Tribolium castaneum: one gene and its partners. Each later gene encodes a partner of the first gene's protein in a complex. Links are inferred from orthologs where the notes say so. Each region holds a gene or a part of one and is shown on either strand. Other genes may lie near its edges. The genes, in order: Nipped-A, YL-1 and MRG15.

Region 1 (4,167 bases):
CAAGTATGATATTTTAACTATTTTAAAAAAGATTATTAATTAAATGTTCACACTTTTTGGCAATTTTAAATAAAAGAAAAAACAATATAGAAAAAGACAAAGTAAAAAAAACGTCAACAATTAATAAGTAACTTAATGTTATACACAAATAGTGCAATTCAATCTAAAAATACTAATTTACAATCGTAAGAAGCACTGTTTGGTTAATAAAAAAATCTTTAGATAAGTCAAAGTTTCTCAAAATAATTGCCTTTAAAATACGAAAACACACTTATTAAAAAAATTACCGAAAAAAATTAAAAACATTGGACTAAATTATATAATTTCAAGCTTTCAGCTAGTAAAGAAACTAATTTTGATGTGATTAATTAATTTTTTCACTATCCACTTTTTGTCTGTTTATTTGAATAAAAATGTCAATATAATTTAAAAAAGTATCTATAAGAACACGTAATAAAATAACAAAAAGAATTACGTTCATTTACTCGTTTTCGTTTACATTATTCGCAAACTATCCAGATTTCAACTAATTCTAAGTTCTAAATACAGAAACTCACTGATTAAAAAAAACACCAAAAAAAAATCAAAAAAATTGCCAAAATTAGTCTCAATTATGTTATTTCTGTCCATTTAACGTGTCATTCATTATTTTTTTAATTATTTACCTTATCTTGGCCTCTTTAAAAAAGATATAAATAAAAAATACAAAAATAAAATAAAATAACAAAAAAATACATCAACATTTTTTATGTTTCATTGACTTGTACTATAAAATTAAATGATTTTAATCAATCCTGAGTGAGTTATTTAGCTCAATATTACATCGGAAACTCAGTTATTGAAAAAAAAATCACCGAAAAAAGTCAAAATTCGCCAAAAAATTGTTCTAATAAAATATGTTACTTTAATTATTTTAAATGTAAAACTAATTGGTTTTTGTTAATTGTTCACACTTTTTGGCCCTTTTAAACAAAAGAAAAAGACCAAGTCTAACTTAATGTTATATACAAGTTTTTAGCTCATAAAAACCAATTTCATACAAATTATGTAATTTTCTGTATTGTTTTTGTAATTTTTTTTTTTTTTTAGAATAGCCTTTACCATAAAATTCAATAAAATTCTACACAGTCAAGAGAAACATTTTTTTCTGTCGAAAAATCTTAGTTTTAATCTCAAAATGTACTTAAACACTCAAAAACGCACCAAAAAATTAAAAAAACTACCTAATTTGTGGCCTTGTGGCTTAAATTCCACGATATCTCGTTCAAAACAAAAAACGAAAAACTCAAAAATACTCAAGAAATGTCAAAATTTGAAATTTTTCGAATCATTTTTTGACGAAATTTAAATAAAAATCGGCGAAATAATAACATTTACGAACCAAATTAATGAAATTTCAAACCGATTCAGTAAAATTGCGTCTCAATCTCAAAAAAATGCCTTAACATCCAAAAAAAATTACTACATTTCCAACTATAATTGCCCAAAAAAAAACATATTCAACATAAATTTGTAGTTTTCTGGCCGAATTTAACAAAATCTCGCTAAAATCTATGTTTAAACTTTTAAAACAGTGATTTTAATAGATTAAAACAAGTAAAAAAAACACAAAATAAACGTAATTTTGGGAATTTAGACGATTTTATTAACAAAAATTCGTTAAAAATCAACTTCTTTAAACGAGACAAATGCTATAATAAGGTGCATTTAGGTATTTCCAGACGATATAGCTCCTTTTTAAAAGAGAAAAATTGTTTCAAATTCTTTAATACATAAATGTTAGCACATAATCGGCGTTTTTTTTAAGAATTTGTAAATTTTTATTGCAGCAAAAAATAAATTAAACATACCGTGACTAAAGTGTCATCTTTATTCTTCTTCTCAGTTTGTATGGTCGTCATTGTGAACGTCTCCTTAAGTAACTCCTCAATGTTCAACTCATTTAAATTATTGACTTTAATTGGCGCCCTAGGTTCAAAAATCTTGTCCATATGATTGGGCAAATCCGAATAAATTGACTTAACAAATTGGAGAAAATGTTGTATCTACAAAAACCACTTAAATCTCAAACAAAATTAATTAAAAAAAAAAAATCACTTCTGGATTAAACGCCGGCCGATACTGCTTATGCAACTCGATGATAATCTTCAAACAGATCAAAACATTCTCCTCATTATCAATCTCCAAAAGGCGCAACATGAGCGACAAAATCGACTTAACATAAGGTCTCAGAAGATCATTCGTTGGCAGTCTGTACAACATCTCCAGAATTAATTTACGCACTTGCTGTATGTTATACTCGGCGATAAAATGCGGATCGCCCTCTTGTAGTATTTTCAGGAAGATTTTCACAGAGTGGTCCAAAAAACTCTGATAGAGAGACGACGAAAGAATGATCTGAAAGCCCACTTTCAGGGACATTTTTTCACGGTTTTGACCGCAAATACCTCGAAATTTTTGCTAATTTCCTGCGTGGCTTTCAGTTTCAGGACGTCCTTACAGTTGGCGTCCCCCAACATCGTGACGTAGCTCCTGAACTGGTTCATTTGAGTCGTATGGGGGTCGATGCCCGCCATGGTCGAAGAACTTGACTGCATTTGGGGCCCACTTCACTTTTTACATCTTAAAACCTTAAACGTAAAGCCGGGGCTCAAAATTTGCCGAAAAAACGAGCAAAAAACGTTCAAATTTGAGAAGTGAATGAACAACATAACCTCCAAAAAAAAACAATCAGATAACCGACTTAAAGTTGACGCATTTCATTCGTGTAAAAAACGTATCGCTTAATTGGGCCAAAATCTACTAACTTTTTCGAAAATTGCACGTTTTTCTAACACTGGAACACTTTTTTCCGTGTTTTAAACATATTCACGATGAATGAATGGGAAGTGGCTACGGTTAACTAGGTGAAGAAGTGGCTAGAGTTGCGCCATGTTGTTTGGAATTATCAATTTCTGGCCTTTTTGCCGAAAAATCGGAACACAAAAACTAGCACAATTTGTAAAAAAAACGAGCAATTTAATTGTGCTTGTATTGTGGCTTAAAAACCAGATATTTGTGGCTAATTGTGGTAGGCAACCAATCAAACACAGTCGAAAAATAAATAATTTTATTCATCAATTAAATACAAAAATAGTTGTTTGTACAATCAATCACCGTCGGTTCTATAAGAACTAAGTTTTTTCCAACTAGTTGAAAGTAATTACGTCATGTCTGTATCTGCACCGTGTAAATCCCCTCGTTTTTTATCACTTCCGGGCAAAACCCTTGGTTATCAAACCCATCCAAAACCTTCTTGCGTTTGAAATAATCCTCAATCTCCTGCAAGGATTTGTTCTTAGTTTCGGGCAACACAAATTTACAGAAAAACAGCGCGACCACTGCTGCCAACAAAAAAGTCATCAAAGTGCCGCTGAAATTCAAATGTTCGATCATATCAGGGTAGATTTTGACAAACAGGAAGACAAAACACTGCGCTATGCAGATGACAATCCCGCTCATGATGGACCTAACTTCCAGCGGGAACAACTCCCCGACCAGAATCCACGGAATCGGGAGCATCCCCACCATGGAGAACATCACATTGAAGACGACACACACCAGGGGAAGTACCGGCAAAACCCGTACTTCCCCCGCATGCATCTCGTAGTATTTGAAATAAACGACCATTGCCAACATTGCAACGCTCATCCCCCCGCTCGAGGCCATGCAAAGTAGGCGACGGCCGAACCTATTCACTAGAATCGCAGTCACCATTGACATCCCGAACCGAATCGCCCCGACAATGATCGAAGACACGTAATTGTCCAGTTCGAGATCAGTCTCTTCGAAGAAATTCACAGCGTAAAAAAGAATCGTGTAAATCCCCGATAATTGTTGGAGAAAGAACAAAGTGACAAGGATGAGGAACGGTTTAATGGTGGCAGCACTGCAGTAGATTTCTTTGGCGCTAATTTCGATTTTCTCACTTGAAGCGTGTTTAGAAACTTCGGTTTGTGCCAAAGCTACGTTTCGCCGAAACCAAAAATAACTATCGAAAGCTTTGGAGTGAAGCCCGGCCTTAATTAAATACGAGGGACTTTCCGGAAGAAACTCGACCGCAATTAGCGTAAATAAAGCAAATGAAACGCTCAAAAAAGCAACAGTTGACCACGAGAGGACGTAACC
Region 2 (3,896 bases), on another chromosome or scaffold:
TGGATATTGGAGTTCAGGAGGGTTGTAAATGTTGTAAGTCTGGGGGGTTTCGTAAAAATACGCTTCTCTGTTTTTGTAAAAATGGTAAGCGAGGACGCCAACACCCACGATGGCCATGGCAAAGAAGGAAAATCCTTGGAAAACCATCCTGGCACTAAAATTCCCAACAAACTTACAAACCCAATTTTGACTTATTTAATTACGGTCAAAGTGTCTTTAGGGTGCAGGCTAGTTGTTTGATGTCTGCTTGCTTCACAACCACTTACGAATATCTTACATATTGAGTGTAAAGCTGATAAACAGGGTTTTGTTATTGTCAGAAATAACTGTCAACAATATTACATAACCTAACAACTTTCTTTCTCTGAAATCGGAATATTCGCGGTTACAGTAATTTTTCACTTTATTTTTACAAAACTTATTGGCTGGGATTAGTAATACACAACAAAAAATGGTTCAAAAAACTTTATTTTTGACCTGTACATTTTCCTTTCATTCAAATTACAAGAAAAAATGAAAAACTATATTCTACAAGAAACAATGAGACAAATAAATTAATATTCTAGTCATTCTACAATTCTACATACAGTTTAGGAAACAATAAATGTTAAAATTCGGTTAACATCCTGAAAGGCACAAAATTGTACATATTGCTCATAATAATTGTCATGATTTCAGTTGTTTTAATTAATCAAAGGTTATTTAAAAAAATAGGAAAAAAGCATGAGTGTAGCTGTAATGCTGTTCCTAATGCTAATAAACCTAGGATATGTTGAGATTTGTTAGCTGAGAAAAATTACTGTATCTTAGTTTATGCACATTTGCGACAAACTGGACAACTTCTGTTTTCTTTGAACCATCTTGTGATACACTGATCATGAAATTTATGTTTGCATGGTAAAATAATGCCACCATCACCTTCAGGCAATGGTTCACAACATATCACACATTCCGGAACCGAGTTTCTTCTTTTTTTTCTGTAAAAAGGTGTTTTTGTACGTTGCAGTTACATAATAAGTTACTCACTTGTTCTTTCCTGTATCTGCTGTATCTGGTGTTCTTTCCTGTACCCTCGGTGTGTACACATATGTATACTTATTGTCGCTCTGGTGACAAGAAGCTGTGTTGTTTCTAGCAGTGTAGACTTCATATATGGCCAACCCAATTGCAAAAACCATCGCAGTCATAAGAACTATGCCTTGAACTCCCATCTTTGTTTTCTCTTTTTGTAACGGAAATGTGGCTGGCTATTGTAACAATTACCTACCTTTGCAACAGCAACGTCAGCAGCAGCTGAAGACGACTTATTGATAATTCTGTAATTCCCCTCGATTTATCAGGACCACCAACAAAAAGACGAGAAATAACTCATTTTCACCCTTTTGGTGGGGTTATTGCGGAGGAAAAAATGAGATCAATTCTAAAAATATTCCCACACGCACGTATTTATTCCATTCATTCATTGTAAAGTGCCAAAATCTTTTTTTACCAAAATACGAAAGGACTCGAACGCTTGTTGCAGTGACATATGAAACTTAGCTATTGGTACTTACTGATAATTCTATGGTATCTAGCAAAATACTAACCTTAAAATTTCGCAGTTTGACAGATGGTGTTTAGTGCTTGTGTTTTTTATTTAATTAGGAAAAATATTAAATAAAAACCATTTACTTTGTAATAAAACTTATCATTGGTTTGTTGTCCCTGTCCCAGGCGAGAAATTCGTTACAATGGCAAAAAGAGAAAAACGGGCAAATGCCGGTAACCGTATGGCAAAATTGTTAGATGAAGAAGAAGAATGTCAAGACGAATTCTACAAAACCAATTATGGTGGTTTTGAAGAAACCGAATCCGATAGGGAATACGAGTACTCACTTCTGATTCATTTTGTTCCGTTTTGTTATGGTTTAATTGCAGGGAGGAGGAAGAAGGCGAAGATGTGGTAGATTCCGACTTTAGTATTGACGAAAATGACGAACCTATTTCAGACAATGAGGAGGAGGGTCAGAAGAAGAAACGAAGATTAGTTACAAAGGCTTACAAGGTAATGCACGATTATGACGTTCGATTTTTTGTTAATTTTTATCTGAAACATTGTAGGAACCAGTGCCTGCACCCAGTAAACAAAAAGCAAAACCAAAACCCACAAAACCTGTCCCTAAAGTCAGAACAACCCAACATGAATCCACAGAATACGGTTTGAAAATAACGAGTTAGTTAATAATATTTGGCAACAAACGTGTTACAGAAAGAAAGTCAATCAGGAAGTCCACAGCTGCAAAATCAGCCGCAACAGCACAACGCATCAAAGTACGAAATCTCGAACAAAAGAAAAAAATCAAGAAACCGAAAGAAGAAGAATGGGTGCCAACACAGGAAGAGTTACTCGAAGAAGCAAAAACGACCGAATTGGAGAACTTGAAGTCACTTGAAAAGTACCAAAAGATGGAAAGTGAGAAGAAAACGAAACGAACTGTGAAAAAAGTCATCAATGGCCCTGTTATCCAATACAGATCAACACGAATGCCAATCATTGAGGAAATCAATCAAGATAAAGACATCAAGAACGAATCAGAAAACGTGTGCGAACGCACGTTTATCTCAGTGCTTAATGACCCTAACGATGCCACATTTAACAGCATTTTTGAAAAAAAGACAGCGCGTCCGCTTCCACGACGTCTCAGATGCATTGTCACAGGGTAAAAATAGCTATTTATATGTGCAGGGGCAATTCTTGCTCCCGTCACGTGTACAGGGTGAGTCATTGATATGACATACACCGTCAGTGGTATCGTATTCTAAAATTCTTTGTCCGATAATACAGTCTTCCATTTTTACAGTGCAGTCTAAACATAATTTTTTTAAATGTCAGGGGTTATTTTTTTATTTTTCTACAATTTAATCTGCAGGCATATTACAGTGACTCACCCTGTATATATTTTTTTCGCCTAATTTGGAGGTGCAATGTGCACAGTATGTCTTTCCTGTCTAGGGAGGAAAAGACATAGTTTGCACTTTTGAATTAGGGAGCAAAATATTTTCTAAAAAGCGACGCATTTTTTTATTTTTATTTATTTTGTGTTTTCAGTCACCTTGCAAAGTACGTTGACCCTAAAACGTGTCTGCCTTACCACAGCAGCATGTGTTTGAAGATAATTCGTTCTGCTTATTACCAACAACTGGAAGCTCATGGAGATAAGAGTAATCCAGTAGTTGCAAACTGGCTTAAGTGGTACGTTAAGAATAAGGATAAGTTAAGGAGGGAGTTGGCGTTGAAAGTAAAAACACATCAGGTGGATCACAGTTGATTTATTTTGCTCTATTTAATAAATTTTTATAATACAGTTTCTATTTCTTTCAAATAAAACTGTTTTGGTCTGAGATCAACACGATTAAATGTTAGTGAATGAGTTTGCAACAAATTTGGACGAATGAAAAGCGTCGAAAACGTTTAGTTAATATATTTATTAAACTGGTGCACAAATAATACATTACCATAATCTCAGTAGCCAATAATTTGGCTGAAAATTGGCTTATGAAGTACAACAAGAATTAATAACATTAAATATTATTAATATGACACATAAATTACATCTAGTTTAACATATCATATAAAATTAATAGGTATTTGATAAGCTACCTCATTAATTAATGCCATTATTACTTTGTTAAAATAATTTTAGCACTTGAGTATGAACAGTGTATATCAAAAGAGTAGTTCGATTAACAATGCGAATTTGTTAATAGATTACTGTTTTAATATACAATTCGTTAAAACTCTGAGAAAACGAAATTAATCTCTAATCTAAGTACAACATAATGTAAATATTTATAATAGTTAAAAAATCTTTAAAGTACTCTCAGCAAAACAATTTCATGTCCGAAAACAATTTTCA
Region 3 (3,172 bases), on another chromosome or scaffold:
AGTGACGAAGAAGAAATCGGAAGCGCGCAAGCAACTCTCACTCATTTCCGCGCTCGTTAAGTTGCGGACGGTTAGAGACGCCATGGCCACGCAAAGGGGCGACAAGTTGTCGCTGGAGGACAGGCAGGCCTTCGGGCACGTCACGGGTAAAATTGGCCAAACAAGACAAACACTTCTACATAACTAAACTTTCAGAGAAACTAATTCGCATGTGGGAGAACTCGTACCAGAGCTACTGCAAAGAGGAGCAATGCTTGAAAGTGATGCTGGAACACAACGCCAGTAAGGACTCCAAAGCGGCGATCGCCGCCAAACAAACCCGCATTGTCGACGACTGGGAGTCCCTCCTATTCGGCCCCCGAGACCCCCCCGTCAACAACCCCACCTTCTGGGCTCTAACGAGCGCCGACCGCGACTTGGAGACATTTATCGCCATAAGGAAAAGTTGGGACACGTTTCTAAGTCCGGGGAACGCCTCAGGCTCGGCTATTCCACTCGGGTGGGTCGCCCCGCCCGAGGCCCCCAGCGAGAGTTGGGCCCCGTTTTTAAAAACCGACTAATGCTTTTCTATTATTTTTAATAAAATAATCACAATTAAAGCGCCTTGCGGTGGTATTCAGGTGTGGCGTTCCCGTAGTCTTGCAGGCTGAACAATTGGGCGCTGTTTTTGACCAGATATTTCAAGAAATCTTGGATGTTCTGGAGCAGGAGTTGGATGCTGCGTTCGTCGAGGGGCGTGTACGCCAACATGGCCCCCAGCTTGACGAACAGACGGAGCAAGTGAGTGGCACCGTACACCTCAGACATGGGCTTATCGGGGTAGGTTTGCAAGATATCGGCGTACTGGGGCCGCTCGAACTTGTACAAAAGTTGCGTCCCCAACATCACGTTAAAATACTCCTTGATGCCTTTGACGATTTCAATCGTAGCCGACTCTTTGCTGGAATTATTCGACTTGATTGACTTCTTGTAAGCGAGATAGTTGTCCAGAATTTGCTCGACTGTGACTTTTGCCGGCAAATTTGCGAGTTTTCGTTGTCTGGTAATTACGTCCCAGTCGTCCACCAACCAAGGTTTCAACTCGTCAGGGATTTTAACCTTGATTTCAACCTTATTCAAAAATTGCTCCTCGGACTCGACCGAGGGGTCCAACCGCCCCCTTTTCTTCCGGGGCACGTCTGAACCCGAGTCTTGCCCACTCGACGGTGTGCTTATTTTGCTCTTCCCCCCTTTGATCAGTTCATTATTTGGGGTACTAGATCTCGAGTCAATGTCTTTCGTGGCGTCGGTTTTACTCTTCTTGGCCTTTTTCGTCTTGCTGGGTTGAGTCGAGTGGGCTTTTTGCACCTCCTTTTGTCTCGCAACGTTGGCCTCGTTGTATTTGAGGACACGGCTTTCGGGCACCCATTCGTCCCAACTGCAAACACACGACTGTCAATTACAAGGCCCCCCGAAAACACTTACACACTTTTTGTTCCAACCAGCGTAATGGATAAAGTACTTCACTTGCTTGTCCTTGGTTATGGTCGACTTCAGACATTTGGCTTCGTAAATCAACGGGCCGTGGAAGCACAAAACCTTCTCGCCTGGAAAAGGGGTGTTTGGGCGGCTTAAGGGGGCGACCACGTGTCTTACCTTCGGAAAATTTAAACTTGGGGGGCATTTTCGGCTTCAAACAATTTTTTTTGTTTTGACAATTGACAGTTGGTTGTGGCTACCGGCACATTTGTGCCGGTTATAACGCGTCCCGGTGCCTTTATTTGTTATTTATTGTATTTTGTGAAACATTTATTTGCTTGATGATTGATTTGGGGCGAAATTGTGCCAGGGTTAGTTAATTATGATTGATTACAAGCCAGAAGTGGCTACGGTCACGCCATTTTGTCAACATAACCTAGCTTTAGACGGCGTTTGAATTTGGCTTGGAATGGGTGAGTTTGTTTAAATGTGCCCCCTGATCGTGTTATCGTGGGTTTAGAGTTGCAGAAATCGAAGAAAAGTAAGGTTAAGCGGAGGCCCCCTTTGCCGGAGGACGACACCTCCGGTGATTTGCTCATAGTGGACGAGTCTGGTGCTAAAACCAAGTCGCCGGTGAACAAGCCCCCGTCCGCATCGTCCTCTGGTAATAAAAAGCGCAAAAAACGCGACAGTGCCTCAAGTGACGAGGAACGGTGGCTCACTGCCATCGAGTCCGGGAAGCTTGAGGATGTTGACGACGAATTGAAGAAAATCAAGCCGAAGGACCCGGCCTTGATGACGGCGCGACAGCGCGCCATGTACGAGCGTGAGGTGGACGGGAGCCCCTCTGTGACCACCCCCACGTTAATGTCGCTCCCGACTGGATATAAAGTAATTCAGTTTGTTTCAATTCAAATAGTTTAGACTTGTTGGTTTAGGAGAAGGTCATGACGGCCGAAGCGATTCAAAAAGCGGCGATCAAGTCGCAGAAACGCAAACAACTGGCGGACGAAAAGCGCGAAAAGGATAAGAAGAAGACGATGGAAAGGCTGCTCAAAAAGCAGGAGTCGAAGGCGGCCAAAGCGGCGAAAAACAAAATCACCAAAGCGCAAACCCCCATGATTTTGTACCGTCAGAATGTTGGGTTAACGACAGTGTCGTTCCCGCAAGGGATGGACTGGCCCTTGCCGGGGGCGGGGGGCAAAGAGCCCCCGAAAGCCACACTGTGTAGCATGGGCTGTGGCAATGTGAAAAAATACTCCTGTTCGCGGACAAATGCACCGCTGTGCAGTCTAACGTGTTATAAAAGGAATATCGCTAGTCGGATTTTGTGAGGGGAAGGGAAAAAAGGCCAGTTTTGAGTCAGAGATACGGTAATTTATTTGTTTTACATTTGTTGGGTTGTGACTAGGCCACTTGGATGGCGCGTATTAATTTTCGAATCAAAGTGGCCCGAGCCAATCACAGGCCACTTTGATCAGTTATTGTTACCGGAAGGAAACATTGTATGTGACTCTGTCTATCTGACCTATTTTGGCACGTGTGGGGCGCCCCTAGCGGGAAACTTCCCCGAAATTTGTGCATCTTAAACAAATAAACTTTAAGGTACTGTTCGTTTGTACAGGGTGCTGCTTTTTGGGTGTCCGAAATTAAGAGGTTAGAGAAAAATTAGAGACACATTCTCGGGTCAAAACCGCATCTCCCGATCGTCTTT

The links.
Region 2: Nipped-A (region 1) and YL-1 share a complex: the UniProt entries of both Drosophila melanogaster proteins name them as parts of the tip60 chromatin-remodeling complex. The link is inferred for Tribolium castaneum from reciprocal best matches to the Drosophila melanogaster genes Nipped-A and YL-1.
Region 3: Nipped-A (region 1) and MRG15 share a complex: the UniProt entries of both Drosophila melanogaster proteins name them as parts of the tip60 chromatin-remodeling complex. The link is inferred for Tribolium castaneum from reciprocal best matches to the Drosophila melanogaster genes Nipped-A and MRG15.

What each region holds. Positions count from the first base shown.
Region 1 is NC_087401.1:16,699,189-16,703,355, forward strand, and holds the start of Nipped-A (transcription-associated protein 1), read right to left. Parts: upstream 2,936-4,167; 5' UTR 2,808-2,935; intron 2,631-2,807; 5' UTR 2,598-2,630; coding exon 2,448-2,597; intron 2,398-2,447; coding exon 2,098-2,397; intron 2,046-2,097; coding exon 1,851-2,045; intron 1-1,850. Other genes in the region: facilitated trehalose transporter Tret1, read right to left, coding at 3,208-4,167. UniProt on the Drosophila melanogaster protein: Part of the Tip60 chromatin-remodeling complex which is involved in DNA repair. Upon induction of DNA double-strand breaks, this complex acetylates phosphorylated H2AV in nucleosomes and exchanges it with unmodified H2AV.
Region 2 is NC_087397.1:8,922,058-8,925,953, forward strand, and holds YL-1 (vacuolar protein sorting-associated protein 72 homolog), read left to right. Parts: upstream 1-1,584; 5' UTR 1,585-1,730; coding exon 1,731-1,867; intron 1,868-1,917; coding exon 1,918-2,044; intron 2,045-2,100; coding exon 2,101-2,197; intron 2,198-2,248; coding exon 2,249-2,699; intron 2,700-3,088; coding exon 3,089-3,308; 3' UTR 3,309-3,344; downstream 3,345-3,896. UniProt on the Drosophila melanogaster protein: Part of the Tip60 chromatin-remodeling complex which is involved in DNA repair. Upon induction of DNA double-strand breaks, this complex acetylates phosphorylated H2AV in nucleosomes and exchanges it with unmodified H2AV.
Region 3 is NC_087400.1:991,347-994,518, reverse strand, and holds MRG15 (mortality factor 4-like protein 1), read right to left. Parts: upstream 1,775-3,172; 5' UTR 1,664-1,774; coding exon 1,636-1,663; intron 1,587-1,635; coding exon 1,469-1,586; intron 1,418-1,468; coding exon 595-1,417; 3' UTR 561-594; downstream 1-560. Other genes in the region: uncharacterized protein LOC657630, read left to right, coding at 1-146, 196-560; INO80 complex subunit B, read left to right, coding at 1,928-1,931, 1,979-2,349, 2,397-2,792. UniProt on the Drosophila melanogaster protein: Part of the Tip60 chromatin-remodeling complex which is involved in DNA repair. Upon induction of DNA double-strand breaks, this complex acetylates phosphorylated H2AV in nucleosomes and exchanges it with unmodified H2AV.